Alligator mississippiensis: one gene and its partner. The protein of the gene in region 1 purifies or fractionates together with the protein of each later gene. This does not show direct contact. Links are inferred from orthologs where the notes say so. Each region holds a gene or a part of one and is shown in the gene's direction. Other genes may lie near its edges.

Region 1 (10,435 bases):
GTAACCTCCTCAGTTACTATGACATCTACCCTGTTGTCATGGTTTCCCATCATGGTTCCCATCCCCATCCCACATCCATGCCCCATCCCTCATCCATGGTTGCCATGACATCTACCCTGGCCTATCTTCCCTGCCCATGTTGTTTTGACAAAACCCCACTGCCCAATGCCCCTGGTTCCTATGACACCCACCCTAGTCATCCTTCTGCCTGCCCTGCCCCCACAGTTGTCATGGGACCCCATTCCCGCCAGGCTTACCATGACACCCATATTGGCCTACTGCTCCAGTTTCCTGCCTCAGTTGCCATGACACAGACACCAGCCTATTCACCCCAGCTTCCTGCCTCAGTTGCCATAACAGCCTTCTTGTGGTTGCTATAATACCCAATCCCCTTTGCCATTGCCATGACACCCACACCAACCTACCACCCCAGCTTCCTTCAGTTGCCATGACACCCCCGTTATCATGGCACTTACACCAATCTACACATCACAGCCTCCAGCCTCAGTTGCCATGACACCTACCCATCATGGTTGCCATGATGCTGCACACCCCAAGGTGGCACTAACCCTCACTCTTTTCCTTCCCTAGGCTGCCAGCTGTACCCAGTGCTGGGAGCGCTGCCGTGGGGGGAGGGCTCAGCCTTCACTGCGGGGGGCTGGGCCCCAGGGGGCTACAGCAAGGCCCTCCCTGGCCCTCCCTCACCCCCACCCCCCCCTGAGGCCCGGGACAGCCCCACTTTCCTGGAGATGCTGAAGACGGAGAGGCCCAGTCCTGGGGTGGGGGGGGGCACTGAGGGGCTGGGGCTAGGCCTGGGCCTGAGCCTGGGCCTGGGCGGGGGCTATGGCAGCCCCCCTGACCTGGCCTACCTGGCACCCCCTGGCCCCGCCTACCCCCCTGCCTTCCGGGGCAGCCTGCCCCTGGCATCATGTGGTGAGTCCTCTCCCCATCTGCCTCAGTCTCAGCTAGGATCAGGCACCTCCCCTCCTGTGCCAGCCAGGATTGGGACTCCCCAAAGCCAGAATCAGACTCCCCCTGAGTCAGGATTGGGCTCCCCCCTCCTGCCCCAGATAGGATTGAGGGCTCGCTCAGACTAGGACCAGGACCCACCTGCCCCCAGCCAGAATTGGAGCTACACAGCCCGCACCCAGGATTGGGTTCCCTGTCTCCCCCACATCCATGATCAGGACCTTCCTTGATTTTCTCTGCCTCCCACCCCAGGATTGGGCCCTTTGGTTGGGGGGAGGGTATAAGCTCTTACCAAGATTGGGCAGGGGGATGGAGGGGACATAGAGCACTTGGGGCTGGGCAGGATCGGGACCCCCTAGATAATGTCTCCCCCCGACAGAGGCGCGGGAGTGCGTGAACTGCGGGGCCACGGCCACACCACTGTGGCGCCGGGATGGTACCGGGCACTACCTATGCAATGCCTGTGGGCTGTACCACCGTGTCAACGGTGCCAACCGGCCCCTCATCCGCCCCAAGAAACGTCTGGTGAGAGATCCCCTCCAGAATCCCTTTGTGGACCCTTCCAATACATCCCTTCTACCCCTCCCCCCCACCTCATGGACCCTTCTGATACACTCCACCTGTGACTCCCATGTGGACTCTCCCATGCTCTCCCCCCAGATCCCTAACATGGAGCATTATACACCCCTATGGACCCTTCCAATACAGTCCCTCAGGGATTGCCACATGGACCCTCCCAACCGCTGCACAGACTCTCCCATTACAACCCTCCCCAGGACCCTCCCAATACACCCTCCTGGGTCCCCAGCTAGGACCATTCTATACACCCCCCACACAGACCCTTCCAGTACTCTCGTATAGACCCTCAATATATGGACCATTCCACACACTGTCCTCCCACATGGACTCTGCTAATTCACTCCCTCCACTGACCCACAACATGGACCCTTCCAATCCCCCAGGGACCTCCACATGCACTCTTTTATAACAACCCCCCACCCTGAAACATCCGCATCATCCCCAGGACCCTGACATGGACTCTCCCAGGCCTCTGCCTAGGACCCCCAACATGGACCATTCCACACCATGGACTGTCCACCAACATGAACTGTGTTAATTTACCCCCTAGGGTTGGATCCCTAACATGGACCCTCCCAACATCCCCTGCAAGGACCTCCACATGGAGTTTTCCAAACCACCCCCCAGGGATCTTGGCATGGACCCTCCCAATACACCCTCCCCCCCACAGACTCCCAATATGGACCATTCTTCTCCCCCACATACATGCTCCCAATGCACCCATCCATGGGACCCCCAACCACTTGTTCCCTGGAAACACCTGGTGAGAGACCCCCCACCAGGCTTCCCATATGCCCCCTGGGGATCTCCAAACCCCTCCTGGAATCCCCATACCCCCTAGGGACTCCATCCAGACACCATGGGGACCCTGTGACCCCCACCACTTGACCCCTGCCCCCCCACCTCCAGGTGGTGAGCAAGCGAGCAGGGACCCAGTGCAGCAACTGCCAGACCACGACCACAACACTGTGGCGCCGCGACCCCCGCGGGCAGCCCGTCTGCAACGCTTGCGGCCTGTACTACAAGCTCCACAATGTGAGTGCCCCCCCATTCTTGCCCCAGGGCCACCTGAGTTCCTACCCCAGGGCTGCCCGGATGCCTGGGTCCTTTTCCTGGGAAGGCCCAAATGCCTAGGTTCTCATCCTGTCGTTGCCCAGGTACCTAGGTTCCATCCCTGGAGAGGCCCAGATGCCTGGGTCCTTTTCCCAAGGCCACCCTGATGCCTGGGTTCCTACCCCAGGGCTGCCTGAGTTCCATCCCTGGAGAGGTCCAAATGCCTGGGTTCCCACCATGGGACCACTCACATATCTGGGTTCCATCCTCAGGGCACCTGGGTTTACATCCCTGATGGGGGGGATTGCAGAGGGATGGGGCATGGTCCTGGTCACCTGGATTCTTTCACCAACTCTGGGAGGGGAATGGGGGCTGGGATCCCAGACACCTGAATCCCTCTTGGCCCCTGGATGCATGGATCCCTTCATGACCCCTTCCCTGCAGGTGAACCGGCCACTGACCATGCGCAAGGATGGGATCCAGACACGGAACCGCAAAGTCTCAGCCAAGGGCAAGAAGCGCCGCAGTGGAGAGCCAGGTGTCCGGGCCCTGCCTGGCCCTGAGGGCCCTGCCCCGCTGGAGCTACTGACCCCGTCCCCCCTAGGAGCCGAGGACCCTAGTGCTCTCTATGCCCTGGGGCCTGTGGTCCACCTGCTGCCCTTCTCCCCCACCCCACACCTGCTGGGCCCCACCGCCTACCCCACCCCTGGCTCCTCCCTGGCCTGAGGGTCAGGGATGTGATCTGGCCCTATCCCACATCCACTAGGTCCAGCCCCCAGCCCAGCCCTACCTCTTTGGCCTGAGAGGTGGAGTCACAGCCTGGACCCAGCACCTCTCCCTAACCTGCCCCCAGGACTGAGTGGTGCAGCTACATTCTGACTATGACCCCCACCTGCTGGACCCCACCCACTGACCCTGAGGGGGTAGAGGCCATGGGTAAAGCCCCACCCCTGGGTTTGAAGGATTGAGCCATATCCTGCCCCAATGCCACCTGCCGGACCACCTCTAAAGGTACATTCCCCAGCCTGAGGGGGTGGAGTCACTGCTTTGGCCTGCTCCCTGGCTCCACCCCCAGGCTCTTGCCTAGTCCCGCCCCCACCGAGGGGAGGGGCTCTTGATGGGTGAGACCCTTGGGGGAAGCAGGTGCCGAGAGTCAGGGGTTTTAGGGGTCATGGGGCTCCAGGTCCCCCCCCACCCCAGCCCCCCCAATAAAGAGTCTGTCTCTTTAAGATACTGGTACTTTGCCTTTAATTGCCCTCAACTAGTGTCCGTGGTAGTACCCGGCCCCCACCCAAGCATTGGGAAAGTCCCAGTCTCCTTCCCCCTTTACTGAGGTGAATGGTCTCTCCCACCCCTCTAAGTGCGCATGTGCAGGGGAATTGTGTCACCCAGCTCTGCCTGCCCCGCGCGGTACGAATGGTCTCGCTCAGGGCAGGCCAATCTGACTCCATCCGGCAGCGCCCGGGAGAGACCATCTTTCTGAAGGGGGGGGGGGAGCAGATGAAACCATTTCCCCCCAACCCGGAGCCTCTCACGCCTACTTGTAATCCTCCCTGCCTTGCCGCCGCGATGCCCCCTGGGGTCTCTCCGGGGCCTGAAGGACCCAGCGCCCCGGCACCGTCGGTAAAGTAGCCGCCCCACCACTTGCCCCCCCCCCATATGGTTATGGGGAGTGGGTACCACGCTGGGAGAGTTGAAACCCGGTACCGGGGTCCAGGAGGGGTGGGGCTTATGATACTGAAGTGGGGCCAAGATGGGGGGGGGAAACTGACAGGGTGGAGTAAAATGGGGCGGGGCCAGGCTGTGGGAGGAGCTTGGTGCTCAGGGAGCGGGGCCAGAACGGGGTGGAGCCTGCGGGTAAGGAAGATTGGAGGTGGGGCTTAAGGACCTGGGGTGTGGCCTAGGTCAGGTGGGCGGGGCTTGGAGGCCAAGGATGGTGCCTGTTTCTCTCAGGGAGGTAAAGCTGGAGGGGAGCCAGGAGTGGGTGTGGCCTGACCACTGGAGCTGGATTTCCGGGCCGTGTGGGTGTGGCCTGACATGAAGGGGTGGGTTTGATCCCAAGGTAGTGTGGCCAGAGCTCTGCAGTCTGTCTTGTCATCCCCTTGTAGGGCCGGGCTGGTCGGCAGGCACCACCCCCTCCCCGCCGCAGCCCAGGGCTCCCTGAGGCAAAGCGGCGCGGCCGTGCCCGGAGGTTGCATCAAGAGGTGGCCGAGCTCCAGGATGGGTTACAGCACCTGGTACGGCCTAGATACCTGCGCCTCATGGAGTGGGGGTAGAAACTGGAGGCCTGTGTCCCCACAAGGTTTTGGCAGGGGAAGAGCCTGGACACCTGAGTCATTTTGGAGGTGGGGGGGATGGGGGTTGGTGGGAGCCCAGATGCCTTGGTCTTCTTGCTGGGAGGGGACAGGGGCCTGGTGGGTTCGATGGTAGGGGAGCCATTGGGGAGCCCCCAGCTGCCTGGGTTCTCCTGCTCTGGACAGGGCAGTGAGGCAGGGTATTATGTTGGGAGGGAGATACTGGAAGTCTGAGTTCACTATCTCCTGTGTCCTTCTCTACCCCCCCTCCAGGATCTGGCTGCAGAGAAGCCAGTGCCCTCAGGGACAGGCCTTGCTTATGATAAGGAGCTCACCAGCTTTCACTGCCTTTGGGACAAGAGGTGAGGGAAGCTGCTCCCTTCATCTGCAGCTCCTGTGCTGCCCTAGCTCCCTCATGAACTTCTATCTCTAAGGGTGGCACATCTGGGATCAGTTCACCAGCCTGGGACTCCAGTGCCACTCTGAGCTTGGCTTGTTACCCTGGGCTCTGTCCTGTCTCTCCCTGCTCCCCCCCCCATCTCTGTAATGGAGGGGGTGGATCTGGGATCAACTGGTCAGCCCGAGGATCCCCAGTCCCAGTCTGGGATTGATTTCCCTAGCCTGGCCTACAACTCTCTCCCCCCCACCTATGAGTCCCCATCATTGTGACAGAATCTGGGATCAACTCATCAGCCTCGGTTCCCCAGTCTTACTCTGGGTTTGGCTGGCTGACCTGGTCCCTCCCACCCCTGCTCCTTTTGTGTCTCTTCCTGACCCCCCAACCCCACCCATATTGGTGTTTCTCACACCTGACCTGCAGTGCTCCCCATGGCCCCAGGGTGCCCCTCACTCCTGACCCATAATGAATCCTACTGGGCCATGGATCCACAGAGGGAGCTGGGGCACCCAGATACCTGGGTTCATGGAGGGGATCCCAGACACCTGGGTTCACTGGGGGACCTGGATGCCTGAGTCTACCAGAGCCTGAGATGCCCAGATGTCTGGGTTCATGGAATGTGGAGAATGGCTGGGGGACCTGGATACCTGTGTCCCCATAGCTTCACAGTGCCCCTCACTCCTACCCCACAGCCTCCTGACTCTGCCCTTATTGCTGCAGTTTCCCTGAGTGCCCAGCCCGGCTGACATCCATCTGGACCAAGCTGGTGGAAGATGGATTGGTGGAGAGGTGTGTCCCTGTGCAGGTGAGTCAGATGCCTGTGTTCTCTGGGAGTGGAGGAGAGGCTGCAGGTGAGAGTGGTGGGGTAGGGAGGATGAGAACTCAGACACCTGGATTCTCTGGGAGGGGTGTGGGGCTGGGAGCCTGGATGCCTGGGGGTTTTTTTAGGGCTATCTCTTTGCAGGCCAGACTGGCTACGGAAGAGGAGATTCTGCTGGTACACAGGTGAGAGAGTTACTGGGGGTGAGGGGCACTGCAGGTCCATGGGTTTGGGGGGGGGTTGCAGGTTGGGAGTAAGGAGGGGAGTGAGGGGCACCATGACCCCCTCCTCACTTTGCAGCCCCCAGTTCCTGGCCCTCATGGCCTCAACTGCCGACATGGAGGAGGGTAAACTCCGCGCCCTCTCAGACACTTACGATTCAGTTTATTTGCATCCGGTAAGCCCCAGATTTTGGGGGCGGGGGGCTTGAAGCCCAGATGCCTGGGTTCTCTGGCAGGAGAGGTGGGTGAAAGCAGGGAGGGCTAGGAACCTCGATGCCTGGGTCCCTCACCATCCCCACCCCTGCAGAATTCATACCACTGTGCGCGGCTGGCAGCCGGCACTGTCCTGGCCGTGGTTGACAAGGTGCTGAGTGGGGAGCTGAGGAATGGGCTGGCGCTGATCCGGTAAGACGGGCTAGTGAGGTCTGGGGGGTGGGGCTAAGGGGATGGGAAAAGGGGCTGGAGGTGGGGCCTGAGTTCTAAGGGTGGGGGGTTATAGGGGTTGGACTTAGGGGCCCAAGAGGACAGGCCTAGCAGGGGAGGGGTGGGATGAAGCACCTGGGGGGGTTGAGGAAACTCAGAGGTGGGGCTAGGGGGGCTTGGGTGAGGTACGGGCAGGAGTGCAGCTATTGGGGCTGGAGGTGGAGCCAACAGGCTAGGAGTGGGTTAGGGTGGGGCTAGGGGGTGTGGCTAAGGGGCTGGAGTGGGGCTACAAGGGCTAGAGAGAGGCAAGGGCAAGACAAAGTGGGAAGGGCTGAGGGTAGAGCCAAGGGTGAGTCAGGGGGCAGGGCTACAGAGGAGGGCTTGGGGGCTATTGTTTGGGGATGGGGCTTGGACCTAGAGCAGGCTTGTCCAACATACAGCCCGCCAAGGTATTTTCTGAGGCCCGCTGTGCAGTGACGGGAAACTAAAGTAAACACTATTTACTTTCATTCCCACTCCTTGTTCCTCCCCCAGCCCCTCAGCAGCTTCCTAATGGTTGCTGAAGGGCTAGGGAAGGGACAAGGTTTCCACATGCACTGCATCAGCTTGATGTTGCGGACATGATGCATGTGGGAAGAGAAGTAGCCATGTGCCTCTCGGGCCAGGATGAGCCCAGCTGGAGCAGCAGGGGGCTCAGCTGCATTTTCCCCCTACCTCTGCTGGTCAGTCCCAAGCAGCACATTGCTCCACCACTACCTCTGCTGGCTGGTGCCGACCCAGGCAGGTCTGTTCCATCCAGAGCAGCAAGCAGCTGAAGCCTGATTCCCACATGCTGCTGGGGACAGGAGGAGGCCTGCCAGGTCGGCACCAGCCCTCAGAAGCGGCAGCAGAGCTGTGTGCTGCTCGGGACTGACCGGTGCAAGCAGGGGGAAAATGTAGCTGAGCTCCTGCTGCTCCAGCTGGGTTTGTCCCATCCTAAGCGGCATACAGCTCCGCTGCTGCTTCTGCTGGCCAGTGCAGACCCGGCCGGGTTCCCCCCATCCCCAGCAGCACGTGAGAAGCCAGCTTCAGCTGCATGTCGCTTTTCCTGGCTGGTGCTGACCCAGCTGGGTCCATCCCATCCGGAGCATGCGGCTTCCCATGTGCTGCTGGGGATGGGAGGAGCCCAGCAGGGTCTGCACTGGCCAGCAGAAGCGGCGGCAGAGCCATGTGCCTGCCACTCGGGACGGGACAAGCCTGGCCAAAGGGGCAGCGGCTCAGCTGCATTTTCCCCCTGCCTGCACTGGTCAGTCCCAAGCGGCACATGGCTCCGCCGCCGCTTCTGCTGGCTGGTGCTGACCTGGCTGGCCGCCTCCTGTCCCCAGCAGCATGGGGGGCCTCAGCAGGTGGGGTCCTGGTGTGACCTCTACAGGGCAAGGCAGTGGGAACCAGTGTCTTTTGGACTCCGGGCTCGCAGCGCTGAGGCCACCGGGGCTGTAGGCGGCCGGGCACCACGGTAAGCGGAGCCCCGTGGGCAGGCAGGTGAGGGGCTGCAGTGCAGCGGCTGCCTCGCTCCAGCCCCACTCAGGCAGCGCCAGCTCGTGGGGCTCCGCTGCTTGGGGGATGGTGATGTGGAGCTATTTATTTCTCCCCTTCTGTCTCTGAGGCAGTAGCTGGCTGGATGCAGAATGGGTCCCTCCTGCCCCTGCCCACCAGCAGCTACCATGAACCTTGCCGTAACAGGCAGGTGCAGTAGGGCTACACAGGCAGGGTCTCTTTGGCCCAGGACAGAGGGTGTTTGAATATGGCTTGCCGGCCCACTGGGTGATTAAAAAGTTAATGATCCGGCTCCACATTCAAAAAGGTTGGACACTCCTGACCTAGAGGTTCACTCTTCCTCTGGGGTTCTGTGGTAGGGCAGAGCCTGGAGTTGCAGGGGGTGGGGCTAGGGGGCTGAGCTTACAGCAGCTCCTCCCCCCAGGCCACCAGGGCACCATGCACAACGGGAGCGTATGGATGGCTACTGCCTCTTCAACCATGTGGCCATCGCTGCCCGTCATGCCCGGGAGCGCCGTGGATTGCAGCGGTGAGCCCGGACACCTGAGTTCTCTAGGAAGGGGTGGGGAGGGGACAGGGGTGAGAACAGGGGAGCTTGGTTCTCTGGGAAGGGAGAGGGACTAAAAGTGGGAAGCCCAGATGCCTAGATTTTTTTTTTTTTTTTTCTTCCTCCTGACATCATCGGTTTTAGGGTCCTGATTGTTGACTGGGATGTCCACCATGGGCAGGGAACCCAGTTCATCTTTGAAGATGACCCCAGGTCAGGAGTGAGGGACTCTGGAGCTGCGGGGGAGGGGTGGGGGGGCAGTCTGCGGGTCAAGAGTGAGGGGCACCACAAGACTGTGGGAGACAGGATATCATACAACACCCCCAGCGTCCTGTACTTCTCGGTCCATCGCTATGACAACGGGGCATTCTGGCCCCATCTCCCGGATTCTGATTCATCGGCTGTGGGGCGGGGGCAAGGCTGTGGCTTCACCATCAACCTGCCCTGGAACCAGGTGAGGGATCCCAGTGTCTGGCCCCACCTCTGGGGGGATCTGTTATACTTCGCCGTTCATCAGCCACCCCACCCCAGAGCTGGGTGCATTGTGGTTCTCCTTCCAAGACTTGTTTATACCTGGCTGTTCAGCCCTAGAGCTGGCTGCATCTCTGCTTTATCTGTGCCCTGTTATATGTGGCCATTCCCCAGCCCCTCCACCCCAGAGCTGTGCACATTTAGGTCTACCCCTGGGGTGTTATATTCAGCTGTTACCCACTGCTCCATCCCAGAGCTGGTTGCATCTTGGGATTCTTTCTAGACTGTTATACTCAACTGCCTCTAGACACCCCTGCTCCAGAGCTGGGCACATTTCAGCCTTCCTGTGGGGTATTATACTCAGCTGTTTCCCAGCCACTACCCCCTCCTGGCAGGCACTTCTGGGATTTTTCTCTAGGCTGTTATACTCGGCTGTCCCCAGGTGCCCTCAGCCCAGAGCAGGCATGTGGCTGATTCCCAGGTGTTCCACCCCAAATCTTGGCACATCTCAACTCTATTTGTGCCATATTATACTGGATTACTTCTCACCCGCCTCCCCAAGAGCTGGCTGAATCTGGGCCACCTTTGTGCTCCATTATACTTGGCTGTCCCCAACCCCCTCACCCCAGAGCTTGGTGCATCTTGGCCCCATGTCCCTCACCCAAGCCCCTGCTTCTATCCTAGCCTGGCATGACGGATGCTGACTACATCTCCGCCTTCCTCCAGCTCCTGCTGCCTGTAGCCTTCGAGGTACTGGAGGGGGACCTGATCTCTGCCCATTCCTAGGGGGAGATGGGTGCCTCTCAGCCTTTCTGGAGGGGGGTGTTTGTACTAGAGCATTTCTGGCTGTCCCACCCCAGAGCTGGCTGCACTTGGGCTCATTTTGGGTGCTGTTAGCTTGCCCATTCCCTAGCTGTCCCAGCCTTCCCCATGGGGTGTTAAGCTTAGCTGTTCTACCCCAATACTGGGTATGTCCTCACCCTCCCATGGGGTGCTTATACCCACCCATTTCCTAGCTGTTCAACCTCAGAGCTGGGTGCATACTGGCCCTTTTTACAGGATGTTGTCCTCAGCTGTTCCTAGATGCACCCAGGTCTAGCGTGCAGCATCTCAGGCCCCCATACC
Region 2 (10,624 bases), on another chromosome or scaffold:
ACTTGGAGGAAAAATGGAAGTATGGTGTATGCAAGTGTGTTTGTGGACAATACCTCTTGAAGAAATTCAGTTACTGGTAAGTAATTTCTCTTTCTCCTTCAGTAATTGTTCATATATATATATTTTCTCACCAGTGGGCAACTCTAAAGCTATGCCTCTCACATCTGGATGTGGGTCCACTAGGCAACATATCTGAGTCATCTAGGTATATAACAATTTGAGGACCTCCCTTTGTGAAGGTATGAGCTAAGTTCTAGCTTGCCAGCTTACAGTTGTCAGTTAGAAACACTGCAAAGTCAGGCATGGAGGCAGCCTGAGCTTTAACAGGCATAGATATCACTTACAGCACAATTTCACACAACCCAATAGCCAGCTGGATACTCTCTGGGCTGATATTTTTAAATCCTTTGGCTATAGATACAAAAAGTCATAAAGATTCACAAAAAGGACTTAAACTGATGCAAATAGTAGGCCAGTGCCTACATAACATCTAGAGTATATAATAAAGACTCAGCTTGGAAGGTATGTGGCTTTAGAAGGGGACTGGTAGAGAGTCCTTCTGGTGCAAATGAAACAGTGATCACTTTGGGCAAGAATTTCAGGTGAATCCTGAGGACTACCTTCTCAGGAAAAAGAAGTAGTATGCAGAGGTAATTGCTATTAATAAACATTTTTTTAAAAACTTTACCAAGAGAGAGAACAAGCAATGAGTAGGTTGTAGTGGCTCCAGAGGTGGGTCCAGTTGTGAAGACTAGGTTCAGGTCTAGTCTGTAGTAAGAAAAAACATCTTCACTAGGCCTTTGAGAAATCCTAGGGCTATTGGGTATGAGGTTCTATGGTAGTCATTAATAGAAAGGGTGAGTGATATGCTGATATCTAGATGTGATGCATCTAGACATAACTTGACTGAATTCATAAGTAGATTAGCATTATTGAGCTCTCACTAGTAGCCTTGAATATTCAGAATCAGAGAAAGGAATGTGCCTGTAGTAGCACTAATTGAAAAACCTTTCAAGCCATTTAGCCATTTAAGTTCACCTTACCTACAATGGATGAGAATAGTCCTAACTGGTTCAGAACATTCTCTCTCTTTCATTGAGAGTCACTCAACATCCATGGTAAGAAGTGGAGAGGGTAGAAATCTAGATGGAAACTCTCCCCTTGTTCTGTCCAAGTAGGTCCAAGAATGGGGGCAGGGACTTATGGCACAACACCAGCAGCTGCATAATCTCCTGGTACCAGAACCATCAGAATAGGGGGTGATGAGGGCAGATAGGATCAGCTGGGTTAAATCTGGTCAGATCTGGCAAGTTACCTGGGGAATTGGAGGCATTCCCAGATTCAAATTAGGATATTATATAGCAGGGGTGAGCAAAATGTGGCCCTGGGGGCCAGATGCAGCCCACCAGGTCATTCTATCCAGCCTGCAGGGCCCCTAAAAATTTTAGAAAATTAATATTTATTTGCTCTGGGCTGCTTATCATGTGGCCCTTGATTGCTTGCCAAAACTCAGTAAGCAGCCCTCTGCCCAAAATAATTGCCCACCCCTGTTATATAGGGTACATCTACGCAAGTGCTTTACTGTAGAAATGACTAATTAGCTTTGAAGTAAAGAGTCATGATCTACATGTGTGCCCGTATTAAGGCGCAGTAAATTAATTAACTCCACTGTAGGATAGTACTGTCTGGGACAAGTACTTTCCTACAGCAGAGTAGTCACATGTGCCAAAATGCATGTGTATACAGTGATTGGAGCTGCCTGGGGCATGAGGGTGCTACAGTTTGGGGGATGCCTACTAGCTAACTCTGCACTGTAGCACCCTCATGTCCCAGCCAGCCCCTCCACAGCATATTGAGCTGGGGCAGAGGTGCATGTATAAACTCTGCAACCAAGAGCAATAAACTCATGCATGAACTGCACTTCAGTTTATTGCTACCTGCTAACTGCACATGTACATGCACCCATAGAGGGTTGTGATGAGGAGCAGATGTAGAATGACGGGAGGGCTAGTAAATGGTGAATTATTTTGCTGCATCAGGCAACTGGGATTGATTGAGTTAGGAGAGGGTTACTGTCTGTTTTTGGAGGTTTAGGAATGGTTAAGGGAAGTTTGAAGATGGTGCACAAATGGGGCAAACCTGATAATTGGGAAGTGTAGCCGAGAGTGGAAGGAATAGGAAAGTGGGGCTGGGTCAAAGGGGATGGGAGCATAGTATTCAGGTGTGTCTTTTCTTACAGTCATTGCTGTGACTGTAGCTTGGGTAGGCATACCTGAGCTAGCTTGAAAATTAGCTAGCTTGTGTACTGCTCTCTGTAGCCATGGCAGCATAGAACTCCGTGCCAGTTGCAAAAGCAGTGAAAACATGAGGTAAATATGTGGATGGCTAGCCCATTCTGAGCTCCCTGGTACTGCAGATACATTGCTAATGTCACTCAAGCTTATTAGTTTAAATATAGCTTTAGGTATGTCTACACAAACTAAATTCACAATAATATATTTGTGAGCTCCCTAGTGGCATTCTATTTTATGCCTCAGAAGTTGCCAGAAGCCATTCAGAGCAGTACTGTGTTTTCATAACTGGGCTTGGCAAAGCTGTGTATATTTAGTAAACCACTGTGCCGCTTTGGTTTCTTTATATTGTTTGTGGCTAAATATTGGAGAAAGAAGGGGTTGAGAAGGGAGGACTGGGTGTTAGGAAGCAGAGAAGTAACTGAATCTCAATAGTTGGGGTATTATAGTATTGGATATAGGGGAAATGTTTGTAGGGAAAGGGTACAGCAGCCAACTTTTGAGGAACACAATCTGGGGCAGTGCCAGACACTCCACAGGCCTCTTGAACCAGAAATAGCACCACTTATAGCTCTGGATAGTGCGCTTGCCTTAGTGTGGTGCTGCAGGTTGGCTAATTAGACCCATGCAGTACTGTGTGAATGCCAGTATGAAGCCAACTGCCTCCCACACAGGTAGAAGTATAGTTGCATTCTTGCAGCCTAGTGCTGCACCTATTCAAGCTTCAGGACACTTCCTTTCACTGTGAAATGTCACCTCTTTTGGGATCTTTTTTCCAAATTCAGGACAAAATTTAGATCTTTGGGTACAGGCTAAAAATTTGATAATCTCCTGGAAAATTTGGAAAGCCATTTGCTTTAGGGAAGGAGAACCTGTTTGTTGGAGGGTTGAGTGTAGATGGGTTTGCGAATGACAGCTAGGTGAGGACAGAAAGAGGCCTTTGTATAAGAAAGGGAATTAGGGTCGTGGTGGGCAGTTGGAATATGTCTTTGGAAAGGGGTACTATGTTTAGAAATGCGTATAGGGGTGGTTGGGGGGCTGGTAGTAAATCTGGGTATCAGGATGACCATAGGGTTGGGTGTAGGAGTGGATGGCAACTCAGTGTTGGGAGGTGGAGGAGGGTTAGGAAGGAGATTCTAGTTTGGGGAAAGAAAGAGGAAGTTTAGGATAGAAGTCTGAACGTAGTGTGGGCCTGGTAGGTTGTGTTTCAGGAGGTTCGTCCCAGGGTTGCTGTGCATTTCTGAAACTGATTTTGGAAAGATGTATAGAAAGGCCCAGTGAGGAAGGAAGAGATGTCCCTGATATCAGAATGCACAGAATGGGTGGATGATTGGTATCTGGATAATGAAAATGTATGAAGGGACTTGTAGGGAACTTGGTCTGGGGTACTGGGGTTAGTCTGGAGTGGTAGCAGGGTGTCAAGTGGGACAAGTTGGCTGAGAAGGGAGCCTCACTTGCAGTACAGCAGGTCTCTGGAAAGGGGAGGATTTGGAAGCAGGGTGAAAGGGCAAAGTGCTTGGGAAGGAGCTGCTGAGTATCAGGGATGCGTGCACTTGCAGAAGTGGGGCTGGATGCTGAGCAACAGGCTTTGGGGAAATAGGATGTCCCAGGTGGCAGTTTGGGACGATTGGTGGCAGTGGGAAAAAAGGGTGCATGGCAGAAGTGGCTTGAAATGAAGTAGGTGTTGGCTGCCAGGGCTGTGGGGATGTTGAGAGAGTGCGTGCTGGGCACCAGGGGAGTGGATGGTGTTTGGGAAGGGGCTGCTGGCTGCCATGCCTCCACGAATGCCTCATGCATGCCTCATGCCTCCCCAGGCTCGGGGGTACGGCGACCACCCGCAGAAGGCGGCGGGTTGTGGGGGCAGTGAGCGGGGGCCACCTGCAGGCGGCCGCAGCAGTGTCAGGGGCAGGCTGCGGGAGATGGTGAGCGTTGACCGGCGGTTGGCGACCACCCGCAGATGCCGCTGGCAGTGGCGACGGTGGCCAGCGGCAATCGGCAACGGCCCGCAGACGCTGCCAATTGGGGGGAAGGGGAGGGGTGGCGGGCGGCAACCGCCTGCAGGCGCCACCAGCACCGTTGGCAGGGGCAGTCTCCAGGGGTGCACCGACAATCTCAGGGGGTGCATGTGCACCCCCTGCGCGCAGTCAGTGCGTGCTTGTGACGGATGTTGGGAAGGGGACCCCGGGCGGGGTGGACAAGTGGCATGGGCCAGGGGCGAGCGGAGTAGCAGATCCGGCAGGGAGCAGAAAGAAGAGCGAATCGGCAGTGGCAGGGGACCGAGAGGCAGGTGGGGAGGCAGCAGCGCTCCTCGGCCCACTGGTTCAGGACATCAAGGGCGGGCCGCACGCGGTCAGAGGAGGTATTTCAAGTGTGCGGATGCCGGAGAGGACGGGCCTCAAAATGTTTTTCTTTTTCCAAGGAAACGCGTCCCAGGCAACACTGAAGGGGAGCTGCCCCCACCCCCACATTTACGGCCACAGCGTAGCGCCTTGCCGCAGCTCGTAGTACACGTCCCGCCCGTTACGCTGCAGACGCAGCCTAAAGCCTTTCAAGAATACAGACAGAGCCACCGCCTTGCTCCTAACGCAAACCTCACTGCGGCGGTTCCTAGGACACGGGGTGTTAACCCAATCGTTGTGAGATTACTTCATTGCTACGGGAAACAGCCAATCAGCCTCTACATCAATCATTCAATTAAACCAATCGGAGCTGTGCTGAAGAGGGAGGGGAGAAATTGTGACGTTCAGAAACTTAACGTCACGACCCGCAGGAGGGGGCGGTGTTGGTTGAGGAAACGTGATAATTTGACCGACAGTTTCTTAACCAATCGCGCTTCTCTCTGTTCCGAGCCTCATTATGGTTGTCCAATAGTTTTTGCCAGCGGTCGGCCGGGGCCGAGGGAACGTGGGTGCGCGCGCAAACCGTTACTATATAAACGGCGGCGGTTGCTTGACGCACGCAGTGAGGCTGGTGCGGTGCTGTGGGCGGTTCGGAGTTGTCTGCAGAGCCGCCATAATGAGGGAGATCGTGCACCTCCAGGCCGGGCAATGCGGGAACCAGATCGGGGCCAAGGTCGGTGGCAGGGGGCGGGCGGGCGGGCCGGTAGTAACCCTCGGTACGCGGGGGCAGTGGCTGACAGGCGGGAGGGCCGCCGCTCGCTGCAACCTCTGACCTGGGTGTGTCTCTTGCAGTTCTGGGAGGTGATCAGCGACGAGCACGGTATCGACCCCACCGGCACCTACCGCGGGGACAGCGACCTGCAGCTGGAGCGCATCAACGTCTACTACAACGAGGCCACAGGTAGGTGCTGCCCCCGCCCCTCCTGCCCCCCCCCCCCCGCACCCCGATTTCCGGCCTCACTCTGCCTCCCTGTTTTCTAGGTGGCAAATATGTTCCCCGCGCAGTGCTCGTGGACCTGGAGCCGGGCACCATGGACTCTGTGCGCTCTGGGCCTTTTGGGCAAATATTCCGACCTGACAACTTTGTCTTTGGTGGGTGTCACAGGGTTTGTTTGGGATTGGGCGGGCAGGCGGGGGGATAGCTTGCCTTGTCTGTAGTGAACTTTATCCTGGCTGTAGAGGACTTCTTTGGAGCAGGGTAAGCTTCACCTAAGGCTTGGCTCTGTTTGAAGTGGTCACAGGTGTTTTGGGTGGGACGTGGACAGGGGCAAGGAGTGAATTCCTTGTCAACACACTTATGATGCATCCAGTTTCTGTTGCAGTGTAATCACTGCGACTTCGAGTTGATCCAAGGGGGCATTGTGCGAACATGGTAATTGGTGTTCAACCTTCTGGCCCTTTAGAGGAATGGTAAGGGGTCACTCCACAAACCAGCACGCTTTTAATATGTCTACTTCTCTCTCACCATTAAACTTCTGGACCTGGAGAGAGCTGTCTGTGCCATATGTTGAGCACCACTGTTTTTAACAGACTTTGCATGTTGAATACTCGCACTATTTCTTTATAGAATAATCTGGAATAAGAACTTTAAATTCATGAACTGCTGTCTTTTTGCCAGACTTGGCTTCAGGCACAGTCATGTCTATTTTTTTTTTTTTTTTTTTTAATATTAATATTGAAACTTGTTCTTTAAAAAGTAATTAAAGAATAATATTTCTTAAATATTGTCACTACCAGGAAATGCATTCTCAAGCACTCCATTTAAAAAAAACCCATCCAAACCCATAACATCAGCAGTGCCTGTAATGTAATGTAAAAATGGTTTTCTTCCAGGTCAGAGTGGAGCAGGAAACAACTGGGCAAAAGGCCACTACACTGAAGGTGCTGAACTGGTTGACTCTGTGCTAGATGTTGTAAGAAAAGAGGCAGAAAGCTGTGACTGCCTCCAGGGTTTTCAGCTTACACACTCCCTTGGTGGAGGCACTGGCTCTGGTATGGGCACCCTCTTAATCAGCAAGATCCGTGAAGAATATCCAGACAGGATCATGAACACTTTTAGTGTTGTGCCTTCACCTAAAGTATCGGACACTGTAGTAGAGCCTTATAATGCCACACTTTCTGTACACCAGCTTGTAGAAAACACAGATGAAACCTATTGCATTGATAATGAAGCACTATATGACATCTGTTTCAGAACGCTGAAGCTAACTACTCCAACATATGGTGATCTGAACCATTTGGTGTCAGCAACCATGAGTGGAGTGACCACTTGCCTACGTTTTCCAGGCCAGCTTAATGCTGACTTGCGTAAACTTGCAGTTAATATGGTTCCTTTCCCCCGTTTGCACTTCTTCATGCCTGGCTTTGCCCCACTCACCAGCCGTGGGAGCCAACAATATCGGGCTCTAACTGTGCCAGAACTCACACAGCAGATGTTTGATGCAAAGAACATGATGGCGGCATGTGACCCACGTCATGGCCGCTACCTCACTGTAGCTGCTGTTTTCAGAGGCCGCATGTCAATGAAAGAGGTGGATGAGCAAATGCTTAATGTACAAAACAAGAACAGCAGCTACTTTGTTGAGTGGATTCCCAATAATGTTAAAACAGCTGTTTGTGACATCCCACCCCGTGGCCTGAAAATGTCTGCTACATTCATTGGTAACAGTACAGCTATCCAAGAATTATTTAAGCGTATTTCTGAGCAATTTACTGCTATGTTTCGCAGAAAGGCTTTCTTGCATTGGTATACTGGGGAGGGCATGGATGAGATGGAGTTCACTGAGGCTGAGAGCAATATGAATGACTTGGTATCTGAGTATCAGCAGTATCAGGATGCTACAGCGGAGGAAGAAGGGGAGTTTGAGGAAGAAGCTGAGGAAGAGGCAGCATAACATTTATGCAGTAGCAATTCCTGTATATTATGTCTAAAGCTGTATGAACTCTTTCCATTCAAAACTTTTTTGTTTTTGTTTGTCTGTATTGTGTGAATCTTTTGCTGTTCCATGACAACTTCATGTCCACTGATGTACAGACAATTAAAGCATCTTTCAAAATGCATGAGCTTGTTGCTTTTGTTTCTGGTAAGCTTTTCGGGAACTGTTGCCAAAGGTCAGCATGTAGTTGTTTCTAATAGCTGGAAAATAAAATGCAGTAAAGTTAGCAAGTATTCATGCAAAAATAGTTTTGATTGGACAAATTTGTGGAACAAAGCTAGACAGCTAGTAAACTCAAAATATATGCCTGCTTGCAAGGAAGGGATGGTGTGGCAAGATGGTGCTCTTGTCAAAGAGCCTGCTACCCTAGAGGTGGTGAAAGGGATTGGGTGGGGGTGGGGGGGGGGGTGCAGAAGAGTCTACATCTAGTTCAAAGACCTGACAACAAGGTTAGTGCATCCCTCCTCCACCATCGCCTTTATGCTTCCTCTGTTAAACATAGGGAAAATCATGTTCCTATACCTTCCCCATGGGGAGCTGAGCCTCCGGCTTCTGCCATGTACAATCTTCACAGCAAGGTCACTAACCCATTGGCAGTGGGTGGGTGAGTGGAGGTAGTCAGAATTTTCGCAATGGCCTTCCATGGGATCCTGTACACCAAAGAGGGGAGAGCAGGTGCTTTCCATGTTGGACACTGGACCACCTTTGCCAGGAGGTGCTGTGCATTTAATGCTTCAGGGAGTGCTAATGATACCAGCCCCCTGCAGGCTCAAAAGACCACGTACCATAGTAACCTGCAGGGCCCTAGAGCAGAGGTGAAGGGCCCTTTTGCCTTCACTACCACCTCCTGGTGCAACAGTATCCCCCCTCAGAAGCTAATTCACTTTCACCTTCCAAAAACACTGATTAGCAAGACCTGTAAAACTGACTATGACAATTACTGGGCAGTTCATCATCATCATCTAGTATGCCTACTATGATTACCATGGCTATTACCATCAGTGATTCATGTCAAACCTGACAAACTTACTCGGTACAAAGCCAGTGTAGAAAGGTATCAATCCAGTGTTGGTGTAAATTCTTTTGTTAGGCCAGTATGTTTGGGGTAGTCTATTATTAGATGTGCACATTGGGTTTCTTGCCGTGTGCTGAAAGAATAAGTAATAGTTTATTTTAAAACGTAGTGTTATACAAACTTGTTTTATCACATTTGCACTCCTAACTATGACATTAACTTTGATGCAGAGCCAGATTCAGGGTTGAATAAAGCAAGACCCTAGGTTCACAACAATATATCTGAATTACAGTGATATGTAGTCCCAGTTTGACCATGACAAAGGTCCTGTGGTAGCTATGGGCCACAACTGGGACTGGCAACAGTGCCACTTAAAGATACAGGTCTTGAAGGTAGGCTGCGAGAGAGCCACAGATGCTAACTGGATCTTCAGTGCCCACAAGGCGATGACCACCTACCATAAGCAGTTCTCACACATCCTCATGGGGGGTGACTCCATAGCACCCCCCATTTGCCTGACACTGATGGTTGGGAACTAGCTGACAATGACTTTGATGCCTCCAGTGAGGCAGAGGGGGAAGACACCTCTCATCCAGGGACTTCAGTGGCACAAAAGTGAGCACAGGAGAAGCAGGAAAAACTTCATGGAGTCTCCATTCTTGTACAAGGGCAAAGAACCAAAGTTTATCACCCCTCCCCATGGTAGAGCTCTGGTGAGACTCATCCATCCATCAGTGCCGTTATTAAAAACTCATTACCATTTGGCCTCTAAAGAGACCAGACTGCAGCTCATCTATGATCAGGACCTGTTTTGCAAGCTTAGACTCAGAATTAAGATACTATTCCTTTAATTATCATCACTCAACCAAAAAGAAAAAAAATGCCATGAGACAAATCTACAGCATGACCCTTGAATATCACACCCCAAAAGCAGAACAGACACATTTCAATGCCCATCTAGCTATCCCACAAATGAACACAGATTCTCAATAGCTTTTTAGGTCTTCTTGAATGTTTCTCATTTTCCCTCCAGTCTATACCCTATGTTTATAGACAGCATAGTCTAATAACTTTTCTAACCTGAGAGGGGCAAGAACCAGGGTCAGAGGCCCAGCTGCCCAGGATAAATCCTAGGGCCAGGGACCCACAGAGAGAGGCACCAGGGCCAGCGGCCCAGAGAGACTGACAACTGATGGGGCTGAAACTGAGAGAGCTAGACCTGAATCTGGGCCAGGGCTGAAGGCTGACAGCCAGAGAAAAAGGAGGTGGAAATTGGGAAGCTTGAGGCTTCTATAAAGGACAGTATTGTATCAAGTAAAACCTGCAAGGCATGGTCACAGCTGTAAGGGATGCTGGAGGCTGTGAAAAGCCCATAAGGCAACAAGTACCCTGGGGCACATAGGGGCCAGGAGGGCCTATCTACTATGGACCAGGTCTGGGCTAGTGGGGTCCAGGAGGGGAGCAGTTGGTGAAGGAAGAACAAGGGTATGTTCTAGGACCCTTAGACCGCTGCCCTTTAACAATCTAATGCATGGTGGTTGAAAGTGGAAGAGAGGGTACCTAGAATCAGGGTAAAACACCTCTGACGCCTGGTCCAGATACAGGCAGTCACACAGTACCTAGCTGTATGTGCATGGAGGGATTTTTAATACTGGCAGGCCTGAGGGTGGAGGATGCAGAAATCAAAGTGAATGTCCTGTTCTGTTTCTGTTTGGGGTGGTACCAACACTGGCTCCCAGGGTCCCCTGCTGTGCCTGTCCTAAGTAAATACCTAAGTATTTACCACCTCTGGGTATCCTGGATTCATGCCCCTTCTCCCCCTCCCACCCCAACTTTTCCAGAATATGTGTAGATGGAGGGGGTAATTAAGATGAGGCATAAGGGGAACAATTCACAACATTCACTGTGAGAATTACTGCTGGTTCCATAGTGGCTCCCTTGGAATTCCCCAGCAATTAGAGGCACCTAGCACTTCATTACTGT

The links. Proteins that work in one complex are often made in the same cells at the same time.
Region 2: the proteins of HDAC6 (region 1) and tubulin beta-4B chain purify together in Homo sapiens (affinity purification with mass spectrometry, with the first as the bait; 4 studies listed by BioGRID). This does not show direct contact. The link is inferred for Alligator mississippiensis from reciprocal best matches to the Homo sapiens genes HDAC6 and TUBB4B.

Annotation. Positions count from the first base shown.
Region 1 is NC_081831.1:28,536,454-28,546,888, reverse strand, and holds the start of HDAC6 (histone deacetylase 6), read left to right. Parts: upstream 1-3,872; 5' UTR 3,873-3,939; coding exon 3,940-4,224; intron 4,225-4,709; coding exon 4,710-4,838; intron 4,839-5,168; coding exon 5,169-5,257; intron 5,258-5,984; exon of another isoform or gene 5,985-6,012; coding exon 6,013-6,097; intron 6,098-6,256; coding exon 6,257-6,297; intron 6,298-6,412; coding exon 6,413-6,509; intron 6,510-6,640; coding exon 6,641-6,738; intron 6,739-8,716; coding exon 8,717-8,821; intron 8,822-8,983; coding exon 8,984-9,052; intron 9,053-9,166; coding exon 9,167-9,293; intron 9,294-9,994; coding exon 9,995-10,060; intron 10,061-10,435. Other genes in the region: CDK20 (cyclin-dependent kinase 20), read left to right, coding at 2,458-2,583, 3,046-3,327.
Region 2 is NC_081835.1:40,549,287-40,559,910, forward strand, and holds tubulin beta-4B chain, read left to right. Parts: upstream 1-5,241; 5' UTR 5,242-5,306; coding exon 5,307-5,363; intron 5,364-5,482; coding exon 5,483-5,591; intron 5,592-5,671; coding exon 5,672-5,782; intron 5,783-6,523; coding exon 6,524-7,584; 3' UTR 7,585-7,740; downstream 7,741-10,624. Other genes in the region: CIMIP2A (ciliary microtubule inner protein 2A), read right to left, coding at 7,741-7,826, 8,657-8,774. UniProt on the Homo sapiens protein: Tubulin is the major constituent of microtubules, a cylinder consisting of laterally associated linear protofilaments composed of alpha- and beta-tubulin heterodimers.